Linked DNA regions of Caenorhabditis elegans. The protein of the gene in region 1 interacts with the protein of each later gene in a pairwise test. Each region holds a gene or a part of one and is shown in the gene's direction. Other genes may lie near its edges.

What was found.
Region 2: the proteins of Y39A1A.3 (region 1) and cct-5 interact in a two-hybrid assay, tested with the Caenorhabditis elegans proteins (one large-scale study listed by BioGRID).
Region 3: the proteins of Y39A1A.3 (region 1) and tgs-1 interact in a two-hybrid assay, tested with the Caenorhabditis elegans proteins (one large-scale study listed by BioGRID).

What each region holds. Positions count from the first base shown.
Region 1 is NC_003281.10:10,594,603-10,598,270, reverse strand, and holds Y39A1A.3 (Sjogren's syndrome/scleroderma autoantigen 1 (Autoantigen p27)), read left to right. Parts: upstream 1-1,783; 5' UTR 1,784-1,802; coding exon 1,803-2,042; intron 2,043-2,384; coding exon 2,385-2,481; intron 2,482-2,614; coding exon 2,615-2,913; 3' UTR 2,914-3,013; downstream 3,014-3,668. Other genes in the region: epg-6 (Ectopic P granules protein 6), read left to right, coding at 1-224, 1,139-1,314; Y45F3A.9 (rRNA methyltransferase 1, mitochondrial), read left to right, coding at 3,109-3,209.
Region 2 is NC_003281.10:4,506,337-4,510,091, reverse strand, and holds the start of cct-5 (T-complex protein 1 subunit epsilon), read left to right. Parts: upstream 1-1,977; 5' UTR 1,978-2,007; coding exon 2,008-2,115; intron 2,116-2,222; coding exon 2,223-2,448; intron 2,449-3,755. Other genes in the region: F25F2.1 (Protein kinase domain-containing protein), read right to left, coding at 270-460, 860-1,114, 1,161-1,163.
Region 3 is NC_003279.8:8,903,700-8,907,454, reverse strand, and holds the start of tgs-1 (Trimethylguanosine synthase), read left to right. Parts: upstream 1-2,007; coding exon 2,008-2,147; intron 2,148-2,475; coding exon 2,476-2,591; intron 2,592-2,645; coding exon 2,646-2,920; intron 2,921-2,967; coding exon 2,968-3,141; intron 3,142-3,361; coding exon 3,362-3,501; intron 3,502-3,543; coding exon 3,544-3,755. Other genes in the region: vps-13A (Vacuolar protein sorting-associated protein 13), read left to right, coding at 1-136, 181-660, 707-1,420, 1,470-1,589.

The sequences.
Region 1 (3,668 bases):
TGAACTTCGTCGTGGAACTGTTCAGGCTCACCTTCAGTGTATGGCTTTTTCACCGTGCTCGAGTTATTTGGCAGTGGCTAGTGATAAGGGAACTCTGCATATGTTTGGAATTCGAGATGCTGAGCCACAAAAAAAGAAAAATGTGCTCGAAAGGAGCCGTGGAAGCTCAAGTATTGTGAAAATTCAGCTGGATAGGCCTGTCATGGCTATTGGATTCGGAAAAAGTTAGATTTGAAATATTTTTGAAAAATTTTGGATAAGAACACTCCTAATTTGGATTTTTGGAGAAAATCTTTTAAAAAAATGTACTGTTTTTTTTCCAAAAAATTGAAAAAAAAACATAAAAAATTTTAGATATCTCGGTTTTTTTATAGGAGAAAATCAAAAATCAATAATATTCGATTTGTCGATTTTTTCTTTAAAAAAAAACGAAAAAAAATCAGAAAACTATGGTTTTATCAAAAAATATGTTATTTTTCCGAAAAATAAAAGAAAATTGCCTTTAAACTATTAAAAAATGACCGGAAATTATTGAAATTTTGATATTTTTCAAAAAAAAAAATTAAGTTTTTTCTTAAAATCGAAAAAAATTAGTAAAAATAATTTTTAAAAAGGCGAGGAAACTATGGATTTATCAAAAACATGTTGATTTTTATGAGAAAAACTTAAAGAAATTACTGGAAATTATTAAAAATTTGATATGGAAAAAAATCGAAAAAAAAACCAAAAAACATACCTTTCCGAATTTTCTGAAAAAATTTGAAAACTAGTTTTTTATTTTTTTTAAATCGAAAAAAATTATTAAAAACTAGATAATTTCCAAAATAAATTCGAAAATATTCGGCTTAGAGATCTGATATTAATTTTTTTAAATCATGTCCATTTTGTAGACGAATGAGAAATTATTCTGTTAAAAATTCAAAATGTTCCCGATTTTATTTTTAGAAATTTCGAAAAAAATGAAATTGCCCTCAAAAAATAATTTTTCAATATTTTTGAAAATTTTCCAAGCGAAATTTTTTTTCTAAACATCGAAACAAATTATCTGAAAGCGTAGCCGTACGACTATTAATTTCATAATATAAATTTAAAATTATTTGAATATTTATACATATGCCCAATTTTCAAGAAAAAAAAGTTCCAGAAACGCCGAAAAATCTGCAAAGTATCATCGCAATCTGCGCAGACGCCACGTACTGGAGACACGAATTCTACAAGGACAACACTGGAAATTTCACGAGTCATTTTGGGTCTTACGACGAATTGATCGAGGTCGCCAACGATTCATCGTTCTTCCGTACGCCAGTCGAGTAGAAATGTGGAAATGTGTATAAAAAATGTTCAAAATTGTGCTATATTCATCACTCAAACCTGCCATGTGCCTTTAAATTGCTTTAAAAAAAAAGAAATAATGCCATTTTTTTTTCCCGAGAAAGCCCCTCCCAATTGTTGGCATTTTTCGCCCTAAAATTCAAATTTAAAGGTGCAAATGGCCCTACTCACTTCATTTTCCCTCCACTTTCAATTTTTCGTACTTTCTCTCTGAATTTCCTCCTCTACGTTGCGTTTTGCTCAATTTTTCTGTTTCTGTGTGTACATTTTTGTTATTTTTTCCTTCTCTTGGTTAAAAATCCGAATAAAATTCAATTTTTCGTTTAAATTTTTTAGAAACATTTTGAATTTTCCGTTTATCGATCGGCGAAATACTCTTTTTTTTTTCAGAATTTCGAATTTTCGAACCAGAAAAATCGAAAAAAAATCGAAAAAATCTTTTTTTTTCCAGCTTTTCCGTTGCTCAGTTTATGGTCCACAAGAAGTTTGTGAATCTGACGTCGACACGAGAATCCACGTGGATTGACAGAACCCCACATCCCGCGGCACGCAATTATCTCGACGAAATGGCACCAATCAACGGAATTCGTGATGATGACGCTGCGTCAATTCGTCTCCGAGATAGCTTTCGAGATGAGGTCTCGAAGCGAATGGGCGAACTTTTGTTAAAGGGACAGACGATGTTGGATGAGTACTGCCCGACTTGCAGTGTAAGATGAAGACTAATATTACGGTAAACACTAAATTCTGAGAATGCGTATTGGGCAAATCATTTGACACGCAAAATATAAAATATCTCGTAGCGAAAACTACAGTAATTCATTAATTGACTACTGTAGCGCTTTTGTCGATTTACGGGCTCAATTTTTGCAAATCAAGATCCCGTAAATCGACACAAGCGCTACAGTGGTCCTTCTAAAGAATTACTGTAGTTTTCGCTACGAGATATTTTGCGCGTCAAATATGTTGTGCAATACGTATTCTCAGAATTTTGTGCTCCGGTAATACGTGGCCACTGACTGATTATTTCAGTTCAAATTTTTTTTTTTCAGGGAATTCTCATGGAGGACCGAGCTCTCGTGCGTCGTTGCGTCACCTGTGAACTTTTCAGAGAAAAATCGTCGGTTATTGTCGGCGAGGTTTCATTGCGTAAGGGATTTTGTCGCAAAAAATTACTAAAAATTAAATTTAAATTTTTTTATTTGAATTTCTAAAGATCTTCTGAAAAATGTCTTACATTTCGTGGCGAGACCCAGAAATCTATAGACCTATAAATTTTCAGAAGACGAAGACCTGAATGAAGCTGTGAACAACAAGATCCCAACCCCAGCGGCTCCAGTGAATAAACCAGCGAAAAAAGCAGTGCTCCAGAAATCTGCTCCAGCGAAAAAGAAGGAAGCTGTTCCGGCTGCTGCTGAGCCATCATCGTCTGATACAATTGAATCAGCCACCACTGCAGTCCTTCAGAAGCTCGAATGGGCCACCGATCGGCTCAATTCAACGGAAGAAGTCGCTCGTGTCATGGATTTTCTTTCCGTCATTCAAAAATCTGCCGAAACTCTCAAGGCTCTCCGTATTTGAATCTCATGTTGCTCTTTTTGTTTTCGAATTTTGTGGTTCAATTATTGCTTGTTGGTATAATTTGAAACATTTTCAAAATAAATAAACGCTTTTTCCATTTAAATTAATTTTTGAAAAACGTAGTAGTAAAATGCAAAGTTTGAATATCGATTTTAAGGACAATTAGCAATCAATAATCTAGAAAAATTCAGAAAAATGCATCGGACCGCCCGAAATTTTGCGGAGATCAAGCCGAATTTGTTGTTCCGAAAAGCAAAAATGGCTAGGAAATCCGCGGAGAAATATGTGGCCAAAAAGTGGGTCTCGCCACGATTACATCCCAGAGTTTTCAAAATTTAGGTCATATCGAAAATAACGAGTAAAAAATTAATAATTATGTCTTTAAGCTAATTTTCAAGCTTTGGGTCCTGACACGAGTAAGACTTTTGAACTACAGTAACCACTCCAGTACTTTGCAAAGGTGTGTACCTTTAAAGAATACTGTAGTTTCAAACTTTGATTGCTCCTGAATTTTTGTCGATTTTTCAGACTTTGGATAAAAATGTGTTTACTGTTTAAAAAAACCATAAGTTAAAAAAATCGATAATATATCCGCAAAAACTAGAAATTACAGTACTCTTTAAAGGCGCATTCCCATGTGCATTCGGCACCGTATTTTTTAGGCAATTCATTCGCATTTGGGTATAAAAGCCATTAAAACACGAGAAAAACCAGGAAAAAACTGAAAAAAAATTAAACGACTGGTTACGGTAGCT
Region 2 (3,755 bases), 6.1 Mb from region 1:
TCGGTGAGCAAACGTAAACACACAGGCAGCCATGGTGTATACACGAAGGTGGACCCGCAGGCCCGTTGGTAGGCATGAACTAGGCATTTAATAGATGCCTTCTAACCATAGAGTAGGCACACGGGTAGCCATAAAGTAGACGTCTAGGTAGGAATAAAGTAATTATGTAGGCATGGATGCCTTACGTAGGCATGCATAAGGTAGACACGCAGTTAGGCTTGATAAAGGCACAGGTAGGCACTTTGCGAGGCAACTCTTATTCCACTAACTTCTCAGCAATGACCACATGATCCGTCGATCTCAATTCAGCACGTGTCTTGAGGTAAGTGTTCAATGTTTTCACCGTCTCAATTGTGACTTTTGGATCGACATACATCTCTCGCCATTCGGCTTCCAGCACTTTCCGGGCAAAGTTCGGAGGATCTTCCGGTTTTCGGAACAGAGATCCCGCCATGCGATACTGAAAATGAGTACATAAATATCAAATTATAACCGAAAAAGTAGGCATAAAGGCGACCTACGCCTGCCTCATGGCTGCCACTTTCATCAAGCATTTGGAAGTAGGAAAGTATAATTCTGGGCATAGTTTGCTCTCTGCAACACCTTTTCCGAGTACGGTAGCTTCCCAGGTCCGCTAACACCATCAAGCATAACTTTACAGCATGCCTAAATAGGCATGTATTAGGCTCCATTTGCCGGCAAATTGCAGAAACACCGCAAAATGCCGTAGTTCTCGTGGTTTTTGCGTATTTTCGAAGGTACAGTAACCCTGAAACTGTATGATGCGCGATACTCCAATGCAACAGTCTGCCGAACGTGTAATAGTATCCAAAAAAGTTCAGAAATCCGGAATGTATACCTTCTTATCGATATTTGCAGCATCAACTGCTAATTTTGACTTGACTTTCTCGAGCTGTCTCTGACTTTCACCCGATTCTTCAGATTCTTCAGAAGTTGAAGAATCTCGTGCCTCTTTCTTCTTCTTTCTCTCCTTTTGCTTCTTTTTATCCTTCTTGTTCTTCTTTTCAAGACTATTCTTCTTCTGAGTCGATTTTTCTTTTTTCTTCTTATCCGCTTTCTTTTTCCGTTTATCGATTTTTTTAATTAAGCGATCCTGAACACCGGTATTCTCAGATATTCCTCAAGCCTTTTGATCTTACCATTCGTTTTTCTTATACTTCTCGAACGCTGGTTTTTGAAGCAAACACCAACTCGGACCACCGTAAAATTGAAACTGAATTTTATTTGTTTTTTTTTCAAAACCTTCCCCCCTTATCTCCACATTCAATCTATTTAGCACTCACGCTTTCAATACTTTCAATTAAAAAAGGCGAAAATTATTTGTTAAATAAATAAAATTTATTCTCGCTATAGTGTTTAAACTTTAATTTAAATTTAACTATTTAAATTTGACTATTTAAATAATTTCAGACCCAATTCTTTCCCTTCACTGTTCAATTTAAATCGAGAATAGTGGCGCCGAATTTCTCTGCGACTACGGTCAAAAATTGCGGACTTGCCGCGTACACCATGACGCGCAATTGCACATGTGACATTTTTCTAGAAGATTTTCAATTTTTTTCGTCAAAAAACGTTCATTTCACCTCAGTTTTTTTAAGTTGGCTGATGAAATTATATCCAGAAATTTAAAATTCAAACCTATTTCCAGTTTCTGTCCGCTCTGCACTCAGATTTAGCATTTTAGGTCGATTTTCAGTGTTCTTGGTATCATTGCATTTTAAAATTCTTCGAGAAGATCCCGAATAACCGAACAGCTGCCAATGTTGCTATTCCAATTTTCTTTCGTTCATTTTATTCATTCCTCGAGAATATTCTGCGGGTTTGATATCGAGAACATTGTTTCGAAATGCTGAATTTCGTTTCTTTTTCTTATTTTTGAAAATCAATTCTCTTTCAACAACTTATACTTAAATAATTTTCTCTTAATTAAAATTTTTAACATGCTAATATTTTCAGTGTCTGTCAAGACGGAACTTGGATAAGAAAATGGCGCAGTCATCTGCGCAACTACTGTTCGATGAGAGCGGGCAACCGTTCATCGTTATGCGTGAGCAGGAGAACCAGAAGCGTATCACCGGAGTTGAAGCTGTGAAAGTATGTAATAATTATTTTTTTAACCGGAACATTTAGTTTCTAAATGTTATGTTTTCATGTTTGACAAGTCCTGAAGTTTGTTCTTAAAATTAACTTCATTATTTCAGAGTCATATTCTTGCCGCTCGTGCTGTGGCCAACACTCTTCGCACATCTCTCGGTCCACGTGGACTCGACAAGATGCTCGTTTCTCCAGACGGCGATGTCACCATCACCAACGACGGAGCCACTATCATGGAGAAAATGGATGTGCAACATCACGTTGCCAAGCTTATGGTTGAGCTCTCCAAGTCTCAAGATCACGAAATTGGAGACGGAACCACTGGTGTCGTTGGTGCGTTTTTTTTTTTGGCAGAATTCAGCGCGCACCTCGTAAAATTAGATAGCTTAAACTTATTATGATTATCATGTGAGAGTTGAATATATTTTAGTTTAGAAAACCTTTCCTAATATCAAGTAAATTCCTAGCGAAATTCTTTCCTCTGGTGATTCTCTATGAACATTTTTCGATTCATGTCTAGAAAATGTCCACATTTCTCCCTTTTCTTCGTCGTAACTAAACCGTGTTTGCTTTCCGATTTTTCCTTTTTTGGTCGCTGTCCTTCATTTTCTTCTGCTGTGTAGTTTCGTCTGCAGCATAGTTTAAAATTATTTCGGTTTAACGTTTGAAATTCACCTCAACTACGTAAACCATAATCTTGATAAACTTCGGAATAGCTTTGATAGTTGTAACAAGATTTTCATTTTAAAAAAGCAAAGAGTTGATGTTATTGTCTGAGCTTGTGGATACAGCCGGCAAATCGAAATTTTGATTGCAGGATTTTTTGTAAACGTCACCAGCAGCTGCATTTTAAAATGCCATTGAGAAGCAAATTCGTGAGCATTTAGAGTAAAAGAACTGAAATGTTCATTGATTTTTTCATAAAATGACCGTATTTTTATGATGACTATGAGAAGCGCACCTATTTGTTGACGTCATAAACCCGGAATAAGTCTGAATTTCGAGACAATCAGTCTGAGTCACTCGGCAAAATTGGTTATCGATAATTTTTCGTGCTGGTTATAAAAACGAACTCTGTACACATGAAATTCGAAGTGAAACGTGTTTCATCTGCAATCTTTTCTTTATCAGTATCACACATTAAATCGAAATACTTTCTATCGAAAATGTATATTTTGTTGTCACCCTCTGGTCATTCATGATAATTAATTTAAAAAAAAAAGAACCCTTAGCCGTTCCTTTAAAAGTTTGAAATGTTTGATCTATGAGAAAGTGCGCCTGCTCGTTGTCGATCGTTCTAACTAAACAATCCATTTGCTCTCCTTTTTCGCTGTGCCCGACGCTCCGACAAAATAAAAAACGAAAAGATTGCTCATTTTTCTGATGGTGTGAGCACACAAAAGCCAACAGTTGAATGGGAGGTCTGTCGATTCTCCATGTTCTTTGATTCTTCATTGTTTCTATCTGCACCTTTCTATGACGAAGAAATACACGATAAGCTATCTTTCTTTCATTTTTTCAAGTGAATGTTGACCTCCAGACCTTGGAGTCTTAACAATTCTCCGTTTGCACCATTTTTCTTACGTAACCATATGTTTGCGAAAAACGTGGGCAAATATGGTATCGTATGAATTGCATCG
Region 3 (3,755 bases), on another chromosome or scaffold:
ACCTGAATTTTCGTCGATTGCCGAGATTGAATACGGGCATGTTCTTATTCAAGAGTTTTCGGTTCAAGTCGATCAAGGACTCATAAATGCGCTTCTTTTGCTCATATCAGGAGAAGTGACAAGAAAACCATATGGAGTTAGTAGTTTTAATAAAATATTTCATTAATGATATCTTTTCAGAAAGAAATGTTCGACGAAGATATCAAAATTTGCCACGTTACACTCTCTGAAACTGCAAGCACATACCGTTCTCAGCGCCCCAAGAGCTTCTACAACGATCTTCACATTTCTCCAATTATGATGCATCTCTCTTTCTCACAGGGAGGAACTTCTGGAGACGTTGCAGCTTCAGGAGTAAGCATGCCTATCCAATCAGAAATGATCAATGTTTTGCTTCGATCTGTAGGAGTAACACTAACAGAACTTCAAGACGTCGTTTTCAAACTTGCATATTTCGAGCGTAAATGTGTCTTTTATAGTCCAGAGCAGTTGAATAGCGAAATTATTTCTCATTATGCCAAACAGTTCATTAAACAAGTTTATGTACTTGTATTAGGACTCGACATCATTGGAAATCCATTCGGTCTCGTTCGTGACTTGTCTGCTGGAGTTGAAGATCTTTTCTATCAGCCATTCCAAGGTGCTATTCAGGGTCCAGAGGTATTGGTTAGATATAATCTTTTCATATAATTTTTATTTTTTAAAGGAATTCGCTGCCGGAGTTGCACTCGGTGTTCAATCGATGTTTGGACATGCTGTTGGTGGTGCTGCTGGAGCAGTTGGCCGAATCACTGGAACTGTCGGAAAAGGAGTCGCTGCGCTTACTTTTGACGATGATTACATGAAAAAACGCCAAGAAGATCTAAATCGTAAACCACAATCATTTGGTGAAGGTATGGCTCGTGGACTCAAAGGACTTGGAATGGGAGTTGTTGGAGGAATAACTGGTGTTGTTACGAAACCAATAGAAGGAGCAAAACAGGAAGGAGGATTTGGATTTGTGAAAGGAGTTGGAAAAGGTCTCATTGGTGTAGTTACTCGTCCTGTCTCGGGAGTTGTAGACTTTGCCAGTGGTACCATGAATTCGGTTCGTGCAGTTGCTGGAACAAATAGAGAAGCCGGACCACTCAGACCACCCCGTGTACTCCGAGAAGACAAGATCGTCAAACCATATTCGAGCGGAGACGCTTATGGATTCAAAGTGTTCAAAGACACAGATCGTGGAGAGCTCGCTGAAACTGATGAATTTGTCACCTACGCATCTATCAGCGAAAAAATGGTTCTCATTATAACGGACCGTCGATTGGTTCTCAGCAAACGTACTGATATGATGGGTGTGTGGCAGACAGAGTGGGGATCAGAGTACTGTAAGATCAAAGAGCCCGAGTTTATTCCAAATGGTGTCAAAATTTTGTTGAAGGTAATATAATATTTTTAAAAATATTTTTGTTCAATACTGTAAATTCCAGGAAAAGAAGAAGGGATTCCTCGGAATCGGTTCCTCTGAAGGAAAGATAATCACATTCCAAAACGCAGAAAAGATTCATCCAAAGCTGGCAGCCGCCTACAAGAAGGCAACACTTGCGTAATACTATTTTTATTTAATCCGTTGATTTTCTCATGAAACGGTCAAAAATGTTCATAATACTTTCTATCATATTCTTTTTTGTCACATTTATTTTTTGTCTATCAAAATATTGAATCGCTACGGATCGTTTTTCTTCATTTCCTGGTTTAAAAATTATTCCCATATTTAAAGTTTTATGTATCGGCCTCCGTAATTAAATTAAATAAAGCATTTTCTTGGGTCATTGCGAAACAATTGCAAAATGTATTTGTGTCTGCACCCTCTGTTCGGTATTATAATCCCTAATATCTTTGTTTCTGTATACTCTCTTCACTCTCAATCTAGTTTCACACATTTCGAAAAACTCGTTTTTGATTGTGGCATTGCAAAAAAGAATATAATCCATATTCCTTTCTTCTAGTAAGCAAATCAATATTTGAATGTCATCGGAAAGTGTCAGCGAGGAGCAGAGTGATTATCAATGGCCTTGGTGTCTAATGGGACATTTTGGAATACAATTTTTGGAGACTGACAACTCGGAGTCTTTTGTTGAGGGAGATTTGTCCAGAGCCTATATAAAGTGAGATTTTATAACGATTACTTTTTAAATAAATTTTTGATGTTTGGAAATTGAAAATTTTGTAGAAAAATTTAATGAACAAACGCGCTCTATTGAGTAGATATTTCCGTACTTTATTTTGAGATATTTTTTTATCGGAAACTCATTTAAAAGGAGTATATTAAATGCCCCTCCGCTAATATAGTATTTTTAAAACCTATTTCTCGAAATATACTACCCGTTAAGAATTCTACATATCTGAAATATAGAAAACTTTGTGACAATTGCGCCATTCTCATAATAATCTTACTTTATAATGTTTTTCCCTTCATAATTAATTTTTTTAAAGAGACTACGAGCTTCTTAAAGCAAGTAAACGGCCAAGAGAAGAAAAATCACCTGAGAAACTACTTCAAGAAGAGATGGACGAGATCAGCCTGAAGGAAATTGATACAGAACCGAATGGTGAGATATTATATGGGGAGAAGTACTTTTGATTATAATTCGAAAGATTTTCAGGAGAAGAAAAACTACTCGACGAGAGAGATACACCATACGAGGTTCTACCAAAGTGGACTTGTGATAAGCGGAAAATGAAAAAAAAGAAAGAAAAGGGCAGGTACAACTATCGGTCTTTCGAAGAATATTGGGATGTTTCGAGCTACTGGTTGCACCAAATTACGTGGCTTAATGATTTCGGAAATCAAATGACGGAGGAAAATCGGAATGAGCTGACGAAACAATGTGAAGTGATGAAACCAATTTATCCCATTGATCAGCATAAGGATATTCTGGTAATTTTTCCAATTCAATTCATTCTGTCTCATACATTTTATTTTAGGAAAACCCAGACTATCAACAGATCACCAAGACAATGATTGAGAAAAATCCCGAATCGACCTTTGAGGATATTTACACGAAACATTGTAAACTGATCAAGAAGCAATCTGAAAATGATTTTCATGATTTTCAAACGAAATTTGTCGCAAATCGGTGCAAGGATATGCTATCTAGAGTTCGTTATTATTTTTTTTTCGAGTTTTGAGACCGTCAACATTCTAATTAGGACATACGGAGTCGCTTCTTTTCTGATAGTATAATTTTTCTTTCTCTTATTTTCCGCTATACTCCCATATTTTTATTTTTAAAAAAGTGAATACTGGAAAGAAGTGAGTACCTGCCCTAATCTTAAACAAATTTTTAAACAACTCATTTTGATTTGTTATATATTTCAGATCAAACGACTTGGTTATGCTCCAGGTTTTGAAGAATCTCAACTACCTGTCTTCCATAGTGGAGCTGAACAAGAGATCGAGAGACCAATTATAAAAGATATCAGATACACGATTGACGAGTCTTACTCCAAAAAATTCTGGTACTGCCTGGAATGCAATATTTAATTATTTCAATCTTTCAGTGGCGCCGATCCTCGAGATGAAACTTCAGATGAACCTTCAACTTCCGAAGAATCACAATCTGCTGATGTTTCGTCTGCAGTTATATCAATCAAAAATCCTGCAGAAATTCGATTTAACTTCGATCCCGAAACTGAGCAGCACTTGATTGCATCTAATGCTGAAAAGTTGTATGCAAATGATCCAGAGATCAGCAAGTATTACTATCAACGTT